Linked DNA regions of Lytechinus pictus. The protein of the gene in region 2 purifies or fractionates together with the protein of the main gene of each other region. This does not show direct contact. Links are inferred from orthologs where the notes say so. Each region holds a gene or a part of one and is shown on either strand. Other genes may lie near its edges. The genes, in order: crk-like protein and enhancer of filamentation 1-like.

Evidence for each region.
Region 1: the proteins of enhancer of filamentation 1-like (region 2) and crk-like protein purify together in Homo sapiens (affinity purification with western blotting; 4 studies listed by BioGRID). This does not show direct contact. The link is inferred for Lytechinus pictus from reciprocal best matches to the Homo sapiens genes NEDD9 and CRKL.

Annotation. Positions count from the first base shown.
Region 1 is NC_087250.1:23,205,329-23,212,719, forward strand, and holds the start of crk-like protein, read right to left. Parts: upstream 3,001-7,391; 5' UTR 2,654-3,000; coding exon 2,601-2,653; intron 1-2,600. UniProt on the Homo sapiens protein: May mediate the transduction of intracellular signals.
Region 2 is NC_087246.1:57,860,750-57,868,041, reverse strand, and holds the start of enhancer of filamentation 1-like, read right to left. Parts: upstream 3,230-7,292; 5' UTR 3,207-3,229; coding exon 1,077-3,206; 3' UTR 1-1,076. UniProt on the Homo sapiens protein: Scaffolding protein which plays a central coordinating role for tyrosine-kinase-based signaling related to cell adhesion. As a focal adhesion protein, plays a role in embryonic fibroblast migration.

The DNA.
Region 1 (7,391 bases), on a different chromosome or scaffold from region 2:
GGATTTATTTTATGCTATGATCGCAAGAGTCCCTGACAAAGTTCATCGGCAAAAACAATAAAAAACAAAGGTTAAAAAAAACAAAGAAATACAAATTTTAAAAACAAAAAATACATAAGAAATTATATTTTTTGCGGAAAAAATATTGATACTCTCACCAAAAATTAGCATTCTACTAGCTTAATAAATAGAGTTAAAGGCAAAAACATTAAAAAAAAAATTTAGGGCAAATTTAATTTGCTTATTTGCATAATTAATTAATTAAAAAATATAAACAATTAATTGTTGTCATGTAAATTTGATGCAGAAGTACATGAAATTGCTGATAGTACACTTAATTGCATCATTTGCATGTAAAATCAAACACACACAAATAAGCGGAATTCTACTACACAGTAGGCTTGCATGAGTGGCTATGTATACTAGAAAACATAAAGTTCAACAAAGCCACTTTTAATATTTTGAACTTGAAAAAAATAACGCAAATAGGCTAAAACCATGTAATATTACATTTGTAAGTAGTTTTAGTATAATTCTTAATTGACCATGCAGTGTTCCAACTTACACCATACCATGTTCCAACTTACCCCGTATATGGGGTAAGTTGTTGTTGTTGTTGTTATCTTGGGTTTTGAGGCGCGTGTCATTCAGATATGAATATTTACGCCAAAGTTGGAACGCTTGTGATAGTCTTGTTCAAGGTGGACTTTTTCAGTAAACATAGAGTTGAACATTTTATGGCGTACATTTGAAGCCCTTAGATATATGCTTCAAGCTGATATGTTGTTTCTCAAATAAAATCTATTTGGATTTTACAGCCATTTTGTCAAAAATGTTCCAACTAACAGCCATTTTGTCAAAAGTGTGGGACAACTAACCCCGATCTCCCCTACCAAGTGTGATATTTTATGCGAAAATTTCACTTTTTATTCAAAATTTTGTCCATGTCGCCGGATGATTTTGTAGTGTGGGAGTGAGTGAGTAAATGTGTGGTGTACATGTCTAGAGTGAGTTGGTGATTTCAGTGGTGTATTGCTGAACAGCCACACACCGACTCTTGGCCGAGTACCAACCCAGTTTTACTCTACTTGTAAAATTGAAAACAGAGGTATTCTTATTTTGTGTAGGCCTCTAGATCTACATGTCTCTTTAAGTGTATGATGGTGGGCCCCAAGTCTGCGCACCTAACAATTTGAGTTAAGATTTAACATGAATTTCTTCTTATTTCACAAAATTTTTCAGTTAATAATGTTCCTTATATTATTAAGAGTAAGTGTACAAAATTTCTCATTAAAAAATGAAAGAAAATATAGGATTTTCTTGGAAAAACCTCGGGCAGTCATTTTCAGATTGAAAAAACAAATGGTACCCCATGTCTGCACACTCATTCACTTTGCACACGATTCGGGGATTTTGATGAGAAAGGCTGCATTTTGAGGCCGTCACATGAAATGCCCTAAATTTATTATTTTTCCACCATTTTGAGTCGGATTTTTTTACAAATACCTGTCTATGTATTGCATGTGTAAGTTCGTGCTCATTGCGTATCTTCTTTTACTAGAATCGCGCAGATACGCGTGTGCGCAGACAAGGGGGACTGCGCAGACTTGGGGGAACTTGCCATACATACGGCTGAATTTACTTTAAAAAATTGATGATCTTTTACATGTGTAGCCCTGGCAGCCGCTTCCAGTGCACAGTATACCCAGTTGTTGTGTGTCCGGACGATCAATTTTAGAAAGTCATTTGGAAAAATTTACAAGGGAAGTTTTATCAATTTTTAGTACAAAATGTCAGGAAATATTATAGAGAACAAAATAGAAGATGATTTGTACAACTATTGATTTCGTATTTTTAGTGTAATCCAAAGACAAAAAAGGCTTCAAAAATATATTATAAAGTGTCCGGACACCCGACCCCCCATCCTACTTTCTGGGAAATTAATCCTGATAAGGGTGTGTTTAATGTCGATTTTCAAATTTAAACAGCAACATGATTTATGTCTGAAAACTTGATTACCGAACACACACGATCAGCGGTGCACTGTTAAGTGTCGAAAATATATGTTGATCGTAGTTAAATTTCCCGCTTTCGTTAGCGCAGCTTTAGTGCGCATTTTGACCCATCACAAGAAAGAGAGCTTTCTAAACTTTGTTGTCCTGCCTACTCGCAGACGCAGTCACACACTTTTTCTACACTCGGAATGTGCGTCATGCAGCCTATTAACAGTAACAGTAACAACTAAGCAAATCAAAGCAACACTTTAACAGCAAAGATTACATACTGGCATACCCCTGGCTTCCAGATAAATCCTTAATAATCGAAGACCATGTCAATTTGACAAAAAACAAGTTAACTCTAGGCCTACTGTAAATAGCTAAGCCTGAGGACTGACACAATTTTGATAGTGTGGGACTACACACAAGATTTGCTATTTTGGGTGTGAGCGAATTTCCTGCTCAACACTACTCAAACGAGTCATCTTTCCGATAAACGAAATGCTCTTATGACTTTAATGACATGACAGATCAAATAATCAAATTCGATTGTGTCATCGCATACAAACGATTTTCACTCGTATCATCAAATTATCAACTTACAAATGTTTATTGTTATCATCATACGGGGTTTTGAGATCGTCTTGGGACGCCATAATTGACGAACCCTCTTCACTTATCGTCCGATTGAGATGGTTTCCTGAAAAGTTCGACCAAAATACACCTCCAAAGAATCAAATTATCCCGTTGATCAATAAAACCCCTTCCTGTCAAATTCGAGAAGAGTCTTCATCGATGCCGAAATCGTGATGAAAAACCGACGATGAAAATCTTGACTCGCAGAAGTCCCTGACAGTCCATTCACACACACGTACATGTACACAAACGCTATTTAGCCATTAGTTCCAGGAAGTTCGAGAAGTCCAATAGAAACTGTGTGTGTTATTTCTGTCAAACTTCAATACAGGCCACTTAGCCAAAATAGCACGGCCGTCTATGACGTGACGGGTTTCATGGGTAAAATAGAGGGCGTTATACACATCACTTCGTGGGATATGTTTTTGGGAAAAACCTAAAAATATAACCAAGGACCGATTGTAAAAAAAAATAATAATAATAAATACGACCTTCCTGATCTTCACAGCAATATCTCGAAACCACTTCCTTACTCCACCTTTAAGAAACTGGTTAAACAAGATCTACATTGCCGTCAATGATCTCGTTGCACAGGGCATCCGTGCGAAGTCAACTCTCAAGTTCTGGATTGATCACATCCCATCCTCCAACAATCTCCTTTATCCGAAGACCACACATTCCCCTGTCATCCGTTATGCACTCATTGTCAGAGCCCAATTACTTTCTTCCACGTATCTTACTCAGTATCGCCTCCACACATTAGGAAAGTCCTCCACCCGTACTTGCCCCCTTTGTGCCTCATATGATGAGACAGTAGAACACTTTGTCGGATCGTGCTCCTCTCTTGATCACCTACGCCAAGACTTCATACACAGAGTCGAGGAGTGTCTCACTGCACCATCCACATTACCTAGACTTGTATACTGCTGAGGATCCACACCAATTTTCCTGTGCTACCCTATTAACCCATCAACCTGGTCTCCCTTCAGAAGTTAATTATAGTCTGCTCCTTAAATCCCTCTTTTTTTCTACATAAAATTCATGACTACCGCTCCAACTTGATGCTGAATCTGTAATTTACCGGACTGGGATTTGTTCTATTCGTATCTTAGAATCTCCAAAACAGTGGAGGGATCACCTAAGAGAGAGAGAAGGGGGAAGAGACTAAAGATACTGGTGCAGAGAAAATTGGAAAGCTATAAAACACTTATGTTATATTGGATGGCTCCGAAAGAGTATATTCCAAGAGTTTCGGCAAATATTCCACGAATCGCAGAATATTTCTGGTATTCCAAGTACTAAAGCCATCCAATATGATTATTATCATCTATCCAAGCATCTGCACTCTAACAGCAAATCTTGATATGTTATTTTACGAAGCTCTAAGCTGTAAATAGTATATGGACCAATTTTTTTAAACGCCTCTAGTCTTCAGAAGACTTTCCTCTGCAGTGCTGCAAAGTATGACGAATATTACCTCGAGTTTCATCAAATGGAATAGTGGTGTAGAATTTTCCCTTATGAAGATACAAGCCTTTTGGCGCGTGTGTTTTTAAACTCACGTTATTTTGCGAAACAAAAGTGTTGATACATGTATTTTGAAAACAGGCACATGAACCCCAAATTTTTAATGTTCCGGCACCTCTTTTGTATACCTTTGCCAAAAAACCATGCAAAATTTTGTAAAAAGGACATGGGTTTTAAATAAAATGCAGCATTTATTGTATACTCTGTAAATTTGTTATATAAATTTCTAATTTGTATGTATGTTTCTTTTTTTCAATTAAAGGTGTTACTTCTCTTTAAAGAGCAACCATGAATAGCAATATGAGTGGATTTTTCATCTTAAGTAAATAATTCTGAACTATAATGTAAAATTTGGTGACATTTAGATAGATTTTGACTGATTAATAGAGGTTTACACTCAACGTTGTGATGTCATGGGGTTTAGAAACCCAAATTATTATTATTGTGTATTTCTCGAGACCTTACAAATGCTTGGGTGAAGTTCAAAGCTCGATAGCAAAAAAAAACAAGTACATGAACTCATGTTATTTTTTGCATTTTTTGAATATTTAGGTGCTAAAATAACTCAAGTGTGCAAAATTTCATGAAAATGACATGGGTTTCATTTTCAACTGTGGAACGTCCTTAATGTATCGCTAAAACACTCTATATAGATGATAATTGCGTAGATTTGTCTGTGTATATACACAAACAAAAAAGTAAGTCCCCTAAATAAAATTGCTGTAACGTTTGAAATAATTTTGAGATAAAATATTTCGTAGGTAATATTATCACCATCATTCAGAAATTCCTGTGGGAAAATGAGATAGATAGATATAGATAGATAGATAATTGGTTTTATTAATAAAATCAGATTGATCGGTTGAGTCATGCATGAGTAATCAAAGATTGAACTAAAAATGACAATTTTCGAAAGTTACAAGAATCCTTTTTTCAGATCGTGTAAATACAAAGTTGGGCGGAATTCGTTTTTTGGTGAATTTTATGGTGCTGATGCTGTTTTACTATCCATCATAATTATAGCCAATCCACACACAATTTTGATAACGTATGTTCATGGTTGAGGGAACATCATTTTTTGTGCCGTATCATCATAGGGGTTTACGGTAGTATCCTCTATATAACTTTCAAATTAAAATTGTAAAATGTTAGTGCCCCCCCCCCCCTATTTCTCGGTCCCCTCCCCATTTAAGAAATCTGGATCCACCATTAGTCCATAAATTCAACTGATCCTGAGAAATTGTTAGGAAAAGCATGCATTTATGCATTATAAAGAGCATTCATTCCCAAGTTTTCAAGTGTGCTCACTCAACCATGCCTGTAAAAAGTTCGGGAAGTGTGTGGTGATAAAAATGATGGATGATAAAAACAACAGTGATTAAGTCACATTTGAAACAGAATTTGCCCCCATTATTCACTTAATAACCCATCAAAAGAGTCTGTGTCATTGAAAATGCCATTCCCCCTCGATGCGTGCTCACTCTTCCATAAATATACAAATGGATTTTTGCATAGATCTTTTCTGCCCATAGGTATTGCCAAATTACATTGCTTAAGACAGTTTTGAAAAAAGTTCCATTTTCAATAAGGGGTTACTTATTCTTAAAGGACAAGTCCACCCCAACAAAAAAGTTGATTTAAATAAAAAGAGAAAAATCCAACAAACATAACACTGAAAGTTTCATCAAAATCGGTTGTAAAATAAGGAAATTATGACATTTTAAAGTTTCGCTTAATTTCGCGAAACAGTGTTATATTCACATCTTGTCGATATGCAAATGAGGGGACTGATGACATCACTTACTCACGAATTCTTTTGTATTTTATTATATGAAATGTGAAATATTCAAATTTTCTCCCTGTTGTCCTGTGAAAAGAAGATTAATTCCTCCCAGAACGTGTGGAATTAGCATTGTTTGATACTATATGGTTCAATCAAGTTGGTACTTATTGTCAAATCTGTAAAAAATGAAATATTATATAATTCAAACAATGAAAAACAAAAGAAAAAATGAGTGAGGGATATCATCGACTGTCTCATTTGCATGTCATTAAGTTGTGCATATCACTGTTTTGTGAAAAATAAACGAAGTTTTAAATGTCATAACTTTCTTATTTTATATCCGATTTTGATGAAATTTTCAGCATAATGCTTGTTTTATTTTTCTCAATTTATTAAAATCAAAGTTTTTTCTGGGATGGACCTTTAAACATAATTATGCACCCATAAACACACGAAACGCGGTATATCTATAAAAATTGCATGAGTTGAATTAGAATTGTATTTTAAAAAATCGCGAAAGTTGTATAAAAAGCTGTAGTTGCTTTATAACTTTGCGTTGAACATGTTGAATAAAAATATCGAACGATATATTGATAAAATCTAAAAGTTATTAAACATTGAATAAAACGAGTTACGTGACCGCTATTTTCGCGCCAAAGAAATCTGAAATTATTCATCATTGAATAAAAATGTTGCGCGCTGTTTCGTGCCGTGCACAAAGCTGGCTTCTGTCACGGCGTATACGTCTGTCGAAGAAAATGGCCTGCCCTTGGTCAGGGTTGGTGGAGGAACATCTCCGAATCTGCACAGCAAAAACTGTGGTGTTAACATGCAGGTGTACATAGAGGACCACATCAGTTATTTTACACCGGTGGTAAATTGACAGTGTTATAGTTTAACACACCTATAGGTGTTATACGACACCTTTGGTTGTTATATTAACACTCTATGGTGTTATGTTCAATCTATAAGGTGTCATTTTAACACCCCAGGGTGTGGTCCTCTATTAACACCAACTGGTTTTAACGCCACAGCTTTTACAGTGTGGTGTATTGATGACCTTATGGGGGCAGTTTAAAAGTGAGTAGTGTACCGTATCTTTGAGCGTACAGTGTTCACCGTATTATCAAGAACAAAATACTGTAATTTTGTTGATTTTATTTTGTAAAATTTGACGATAACATTTTTGCGTTGCCTCGTCATGGCTCAACATCGACGAGCGAGGCTTAAAGGGATGCTCCGGGCTGAAAATAGTGTGATATCAACAGATAAAGAAAAATCGGACAAACAAAGCACTAAAGATTTCATCAAAATCGGACAAGGAATAAAAAAGTTATGGCATTTTAAAGATTTGCATGATTCCGGTGAAATAGTTCGACTGAGGCATGTCTTCGTGAACTGATGATGTCATCCCCACTTGTTCTTTTGTATTTCAGTATATGAAATTA
Region 2 (7,292 bases):
TGAAAAACATTCCAATTACACATTCATTTAAAAATAAGGAATATTAGTGTATTATCATAATAGAGAAATAGCAAAATTGTGACCAGCACAGCTTATTGTTATTGTCTATAGATACATTTTAGATTTTAAAAAGAGATATAATACTCATGTATTGAAAAACTACTACATTATGTAAAGTATTAACATGAACTTGATGACAACAAATTCAAAATTACTATAATTACCATATGTGATTGAATATCAATTTGTGCTATGGGTAGAGAATCGACAGACATTACCAAGCTTGTAATTCAGTTTGTCACATAAAACATGCATTAAAAAGAGAATATCACAAATTACAGTAGTCTTTCATCATAGTGATACCTTTTGGACTTCAAATCAAACACCTGCTTGTTCATTAGCATCAAGCATATCTACATGATATATTGATCTACTGTTAACCTACCATTTTACACAAAAATTAATGTTGGTTTTGTGAGTTTGTCTTTTAAGTTTGGCTTTCACAGACACGTGAAAATGATTACAAAATGTTGTAATCAGAGCCGACCTAACTTACATCTGTTATGAATGCAACTATAACCATGGGCTTAGGAGGAACTGATGAAAAATGTCTTCCAATGAAGAACATTGATATCATTTTGTCTTTTCAACTTCCACTGAAATTCCAACTTTCACCATTGAAAGATATTGGATGCAGGCCCTGTATTATACAATGACTGATTATACCGACTGCTAATTTAGTTCATGTATTACTGTAGACGAACTGATTTAATCATACACAAACATTCATAAACAAGACAAACCTTACAAATGTCGTGTTGTGTCGCTGCAGCAAATAAACCTTCATGTATATGCATCTGTATAATGCAATTGATTTTTTATCATACAGCCATTGAAAAGATTTGTTTTTTCTACAAACCTGATGAGTGAAAGATGAAAGCATTAGTATGCTTATTTCACACATTTCACACAGACCTTTTTGTTCTATCATTGTTATCCACACACTTTGTTGAGACAGAACTGCATCTGTAGCTAAAAGAGAATTTCACCATTTATCTTTGAGAATCCTACTGTCATCATGCAGGAGTGTTGAACAAAATGATTTCCTTGAGGTCTCTGCTGGCGGATGCAACGTCCGTGATCCTGTCAACCATTTCCTGCAGAGGTTGTACTGCAGGGAACTGGAGAGCTGCATTCTTGGTGGCATTGACACTGACATTGAGGCAGTCACAGAGGGAGTCACTGTGGTGGATGATGCGATTCTTCACCTCAAGGTTGTGCAAGTTGTGGTGGAGTGTGTCGCCAACGAACACCAGCTTATGACCCAAGAGGATGATGTGCTTGCTGTGAGCAACAAACACCTTTGGCGGCTGATTGCCATCGATGCAGGAGAAGAAAAGATCAATGGCATTATGCAAGGCAGTGAAGAGAGTCTCCACCTCGGTGTAGTAGAAGGTCAGGAGCTGCTGATCTCCTGGAGAGAGCGGTGGTGACACTGGAGGTTGATCTGTTGTGATAATTATCTGCCTGTTGTTGATCGACTGGGGTTTCTGGACATAGCCATAATCTGGCATCTTACCATTTTCAGGCATGATGTGGTTTCCATTAGTTTGGGCATGGATCTGCTGTTGAGGAGCAACAGTGGCACTCGGCACTAGCGGTAGAGGCCTGTTGCGGATAGTTTCCCTGGTGGCTTGGATGGGTGCTGTAGTCACAAGGGTCTCCTTTTCTGCAGCCATCCAGTTGCTGGACATTCCTGCAGAGTTTGGAGGCGGTGTTGGCAAGGGTCTGTTCTGGATGATTCCTGCTCTTTTGAAGAGCAGTGATGAGTTACCCTGGACAAATACCACAAACCTCTTAACATCATCTGGAAGCCCCCTGGCTGTGACGGCAAAAGTGTCCAGTTCATTACTTGGACTTGAACCAGGTTTGTACATAAGTGTGTTCACATCCCAATTGAGTTCATCCAGCATTGCTGACGCTTTAGTCAAGACTTGGTGCTCATCCTGAATAGGCTTATACTGCTTGCTAAGTTTTTCATGGAGGTTCTGATCAGAAACATAAAGAGCATTCACCAGGACACCATCACAGAATTCCATGAACTCTTTAAATATTAATTTGAGCTGATTGCATGCTGCTCTGATTTCATGAATATGAGGTTCAAGATAGTTCTGATGCCTCCAGGTACTACTGACATAACTGAGCATGTATGCTACTGCAGAGTCAAGAGCTTGTTGCCGCTTAATAAGAAGGTCCATGGCGGCATCACGGTCAAGATTTAACCTCCTCCCTAGAGTTTCATCTATGCAGTCCGCTGATTTTGATAATTGCGGGAGAGACAGTTTAGCGACTCCATCTGTAATGTCGTCTGCAGAGCGATGGTGCTGTGAAAGCGTGACAGGCCCTACTACTGGCCTGTCCTGTGTTACTGTTGGAGGAATGTCATAAACGTGATCAGAGATGCGCCTCTGTGTGCTACCTGGTTGTGGTCTTAGACCACGTGCAACAGGAGGTTGATCATAGAGTTCATGTCCATGTCTTGCAGGTGTATCATATAATTCATCAGGTTGAACCTGCTTATTTGGAGGCACATCATACAAATCACTAGTGTCCTTTTGCAGTTGTGTTTCATACACCCGCTGTGGTGTAGGAGTTCTTTGTGGTAGGGTATCGTATAGTTCTACAGGGGAAGGGCCACCTTTAAGCGGAGGAATCACATCATATACGTCATTATCACCTTGTTGCGATGGCGGTATGTCATAGGTATCAACAGAGTCAAGAGTGCTCATTGATGGAAACTTTTCATCCTTCATCTTTTGGGAAGATGGTGGGATATCGTACACATCCTGAGTTGAAGTGTTCTGACCAGGCACATCTCGCTTGCAAGGGGGAGTGTCATAAATCTCACCGATATTCTCCTGCTTTGGAGAGCTCTGTCCGCTCTTTGAGTTCAACGATTCACCGCTTCCAAAAGCCCTTGGTGGCACATCGTAGGTTTCATTTGGGGAGATTCTCTGCACGCTTGGAGGTGTGTCGTAGAGTTCATGTCCTGGTGGCGTCGTCCGTCCATGGTGCGTGGGTGATACATGCAACCCTTGTTTCTGCTGGGGCGATGCCAGGGAGCTGGCATTGGGAGCTTGTTTACGGGCAGGTGGGATGTCATAGTCCTCTGTGGATGAAAGACCTGTGTTTGCTTGCAAAGACATGTATCCACCTGACGAGCTTGAAACATTCTGCATATGGAAAAAGAAAATGAAGAGCAAAAAAAAAGGTGTAAATATCAACACATATTTCAGGAACAATTGGATACAAAATTTCAGTCTTGATGTAGGTGGTTTTTTTACAACATTTCATACTTAGCAAGAGATCTGCATCTGTATTTAATCCCAACAAACTTAACAAACTGATGCTATGATTGAAATTGACAAGTTTTACAAAACAATCATTTTGGATACATGTATACAAAACAAAAATGGGAGGACTTTAGGTTTCACCTCACATGCCTCTAATAATTCTACATTAACTCCATAGGCAGACTTGTATATATTCTGTCCCTATTTTCATCAATACAATGTAAATCACGAGGTACATCACGGCTGTGTATTAGATGTATGCCTGGGTGATCAAGTGGAAGCCTTCCCTACACCCTGCAACAAGGTCAATAAACACAAGCAAAAACAAGTTCACATCTACTTGAGATGTAACTTTGTGAGCATTTCCATCCATTTCCCCCAAAGCTAGAATGATACTCATGGGGCATTGCAAGAAACTTGCAATTGAATGCAAATCGAGCATAACTCCCAAAATTGAGCATAAGTCCTCCAATTAAATGCAAATCTGCAATTGAACGCAAGTTACGTTCAATCCTGTTGCAAGAAAAAGTTGCGCTTGATCACTTGAGCGTAGATTAAGCGCAAGCTTTGCATGCAATTGATTGATAGACAGACAGACAGATAGATAGATAGATAGATACATACATACATATAGGTAGCTAGATATACAGATAGAAAATATAGAATTTTAATTAGAAAGACAGAGAGGAGATGATGGATAAATTGATAAAATAAGTGTACTCAAATCTCTAGTACAAGATGTTTTGTTAACACACTTTATTTAACACCTCCCGATTGGGCCCCATTTCATAACGACTAATGCAATTTTGCCATTATAGTATTTACCAGTAACAGGGCTCAACAGCCAATCACAATCAAGGCTTCCAAAGTGGTTACAATATGGCAAAGTTACAGTACATGTAACTCTTTATGAAACGGGCCCCTGATCTCAGACATTTCAGGATCGTTTCTTTTCTCGAGCCTGAACGCACCATCCATCCATGCTTACATTCTCTGCACGACTGGCCAAACTCCATTTTTAAGGAGAGCAGTTTTATTGGCTGTGGGGATTTGAGATGTGAATGTGTAAATCCCACGCTCCCTCTCACAAAGTGCATTTTTATTGCTGGACCTAACTAGAAGTGATTGCCTGCCTCACGTTTTTCAGGTACAACAATTTCCAGGTATTTTCTTCTTTGGCACTTCATCGCCTTCATAATTTCCTTCCTTCCACCACATGTCTATTTGCCTTCACTTTCAAATATTGAGCCTGAAAGTATTCAATCTATATCTTCAAGTCTGCGATGGTATTTGTATATATTTGTGTGTCTGTCTGTTTTTCCTGGTTTCAATCCCCCCCACCCACCCCCTCACAATGTCTGATATATCAGTCTTCCTTCCAATAGAAGACATATCTTGTAATCAATAACCGCACAATAAAGTGCCATCAGCTTTCAAATTTCAACTAACAATTAGTATTGCAACTTGTAATTCTTGCTCATGCACGTAACCACAGTCCAAATTCCATTCATGTAATCTTACAGCGATTAATGAAGAACTCTCTCTATGCGGTACAAATATGTCATATGTAGGGGACGGGGATCGCCCTTTGACCCATGCATCATTTTCATAATTGGGTCAATTCTGGTCTCAACATTAGACACACGTGACTGAACCCTCAAGATGAAATGAAACATCCATTTATCTCACAAGACACCATATGCCAATGAAAGAGATTGATATTCCTAAATTATTTCAGTTCTCTGAAATACAGTCTTTGCTTATAAAGGTCAAGTCCACCCAGGAAAAAAGTTGATTTGAATCAATTAAAAAAAATCAAACAAGCAGAATGCTGAAATTTCATCAAAATCAGATATGAAATAAGAAAATTATGAGATTTTAATATTTTGCTTATTTTTCACAAAACACTTATATGCCCAGCTCGGTGAAGGCAAATGAGAGAGTCAATGATGTCACTCACTCACCATTTCTTTTGTTCTTTTAGTGTTTGAATTATACAATATTTCAATTTAACTATGAATGGTGAATATCAACTGTAGATTTAACAATAGTAAATTTACATGTTCCTTCCTTCAAACAAAATTATACAGTTTGATGATTTACCCTGTTAAAAAATGAATTCTGCCATTCTCATACATGTAGCTTCAGCACCAGACACGCATGGTTTCAGTAGGTAATGGGTTAAGTGCCTGTAGCTCCTGTGTTTTCTAGGATCTGTGTTAACATCATTTACACACTAACAATTGTTGACGGAAGGAATCTCAACCTATGTCTGTCATCTTAGGAATGTTATACATGCAAATGATATGTACACACAAGTGTTGCTGTCTTGTTATTTTCTTCAAGAGATCATGTTAATTACACAGACTTGCAGCTTTGAGATCGAATGCATTGAGTGATCACCTCAAAGTCGTGATCGATCTGAATCGATGACCAATAGTGGGGTCCAGATAGAATACAATCATTTTTTCTTCATGTTTTATAATGTCATAATTAATGCCAATTACAACATTGAGAGCTAAGAGGATATAAAGAATTTCAAGTGATTTTTCTCCCTTTCTTTACTGTCTATTTTCATATTCTTTCTTTCTTTATAATTATCTTTATCCTCTTTTCTGTATACTTTCCTCCAAGCTTTTTTTTTTAATTCCCTTTTCTCCTTCTCCTTTCTTAAATTACCTCTCCAGTATTATATTTTTTTTAATTATCTGACTGGTTGAGCAAATGCACTGTAAAAACTAGGGCATTCAAATTGATACCATATGGTGTCACTAGACTAGAGGGCCACACCTTGAGGTGTCGAAATAACATCCTGGAGATGGAAGATAACACCAAAGAGTGAAAGAGTAACAACTAAAGGTGTTGTAATATCAACTAGATGTGTGTGAAAACCAAATATTTGGAGTGTTTTGCTGTGTATATGCACAGAGTGGACTAGATTTTCAACAGCCTCTCCAAAAACCAATCCTGCATTTTCGGTATCTAAACCCCTTTTCATATATACCACCTCCCCTCTCTTTTCTCAGTTTTTCTGTTCTCTTTTCTCTCCTGCCATGATATCACTCAAATATGAGTACAGTGATGTACACTAATGTATTTTGAGGTCCAACTCTATTCATATACACATATTCCAAATAAATTGATGAGAACAATGTTGATATTTGAGGTTCACGCAAGTTCACCTCCATATACTAGTATTCCAAACTGATGAGCGTGATGTTGTTTTCGAGATCCAGGAGAGTTCATGCACAGGTAGAGTGGATTGAGGAGCACTATGTGATTTCCGCGGCCCAGATTGAGAGTCAGAGTCGGCCTCTCTGAACCTCTCATGCTTCAGTTATTAACATGGTGATCAGCGGCTGCCTACCCAATGGGGAAAGAGCAAAACAAAGTCATGGTCCACAGACACCATCCGTCCTGGACTCGGGAAGGATAATTATTCAGCACCAAAATGTATGTCATAATATGGTTACCTATATATAATTAACGTAGATGGTCCTATGGGAATTAGAAAAAGAATAACAGTCTTATGCATGTTACATACATTTAAACACATTTCCCCCTTCTTCAACTTAACATAATATAAATATTGAAGCAACAGGAGGTGGTAATTATAATGAATTTCTGGTGTAATACCTGAATTCTAATTGAATACTTTAGTCAAGATAAACATCTGAAACATATTCAACGAGTAGGGTCCCCTGACTAACTTCCAGTTACATATACTCCAAGGACACATATAAAACAAACAAGTGTTTTACGATTATCTAATTTTTTCATTAGGCCTAAACTTGAATTGAAAAATTCCCAAGATATTTTAAATCATCAGATTAATTTGTTTTTATCCTTTTTGTGTCTAATATATATTATATTCATTTGAATTTGATTTAAGAATTTATACCCAGTGTGGAGAGATGTTATATGGAAATGATGAATGAT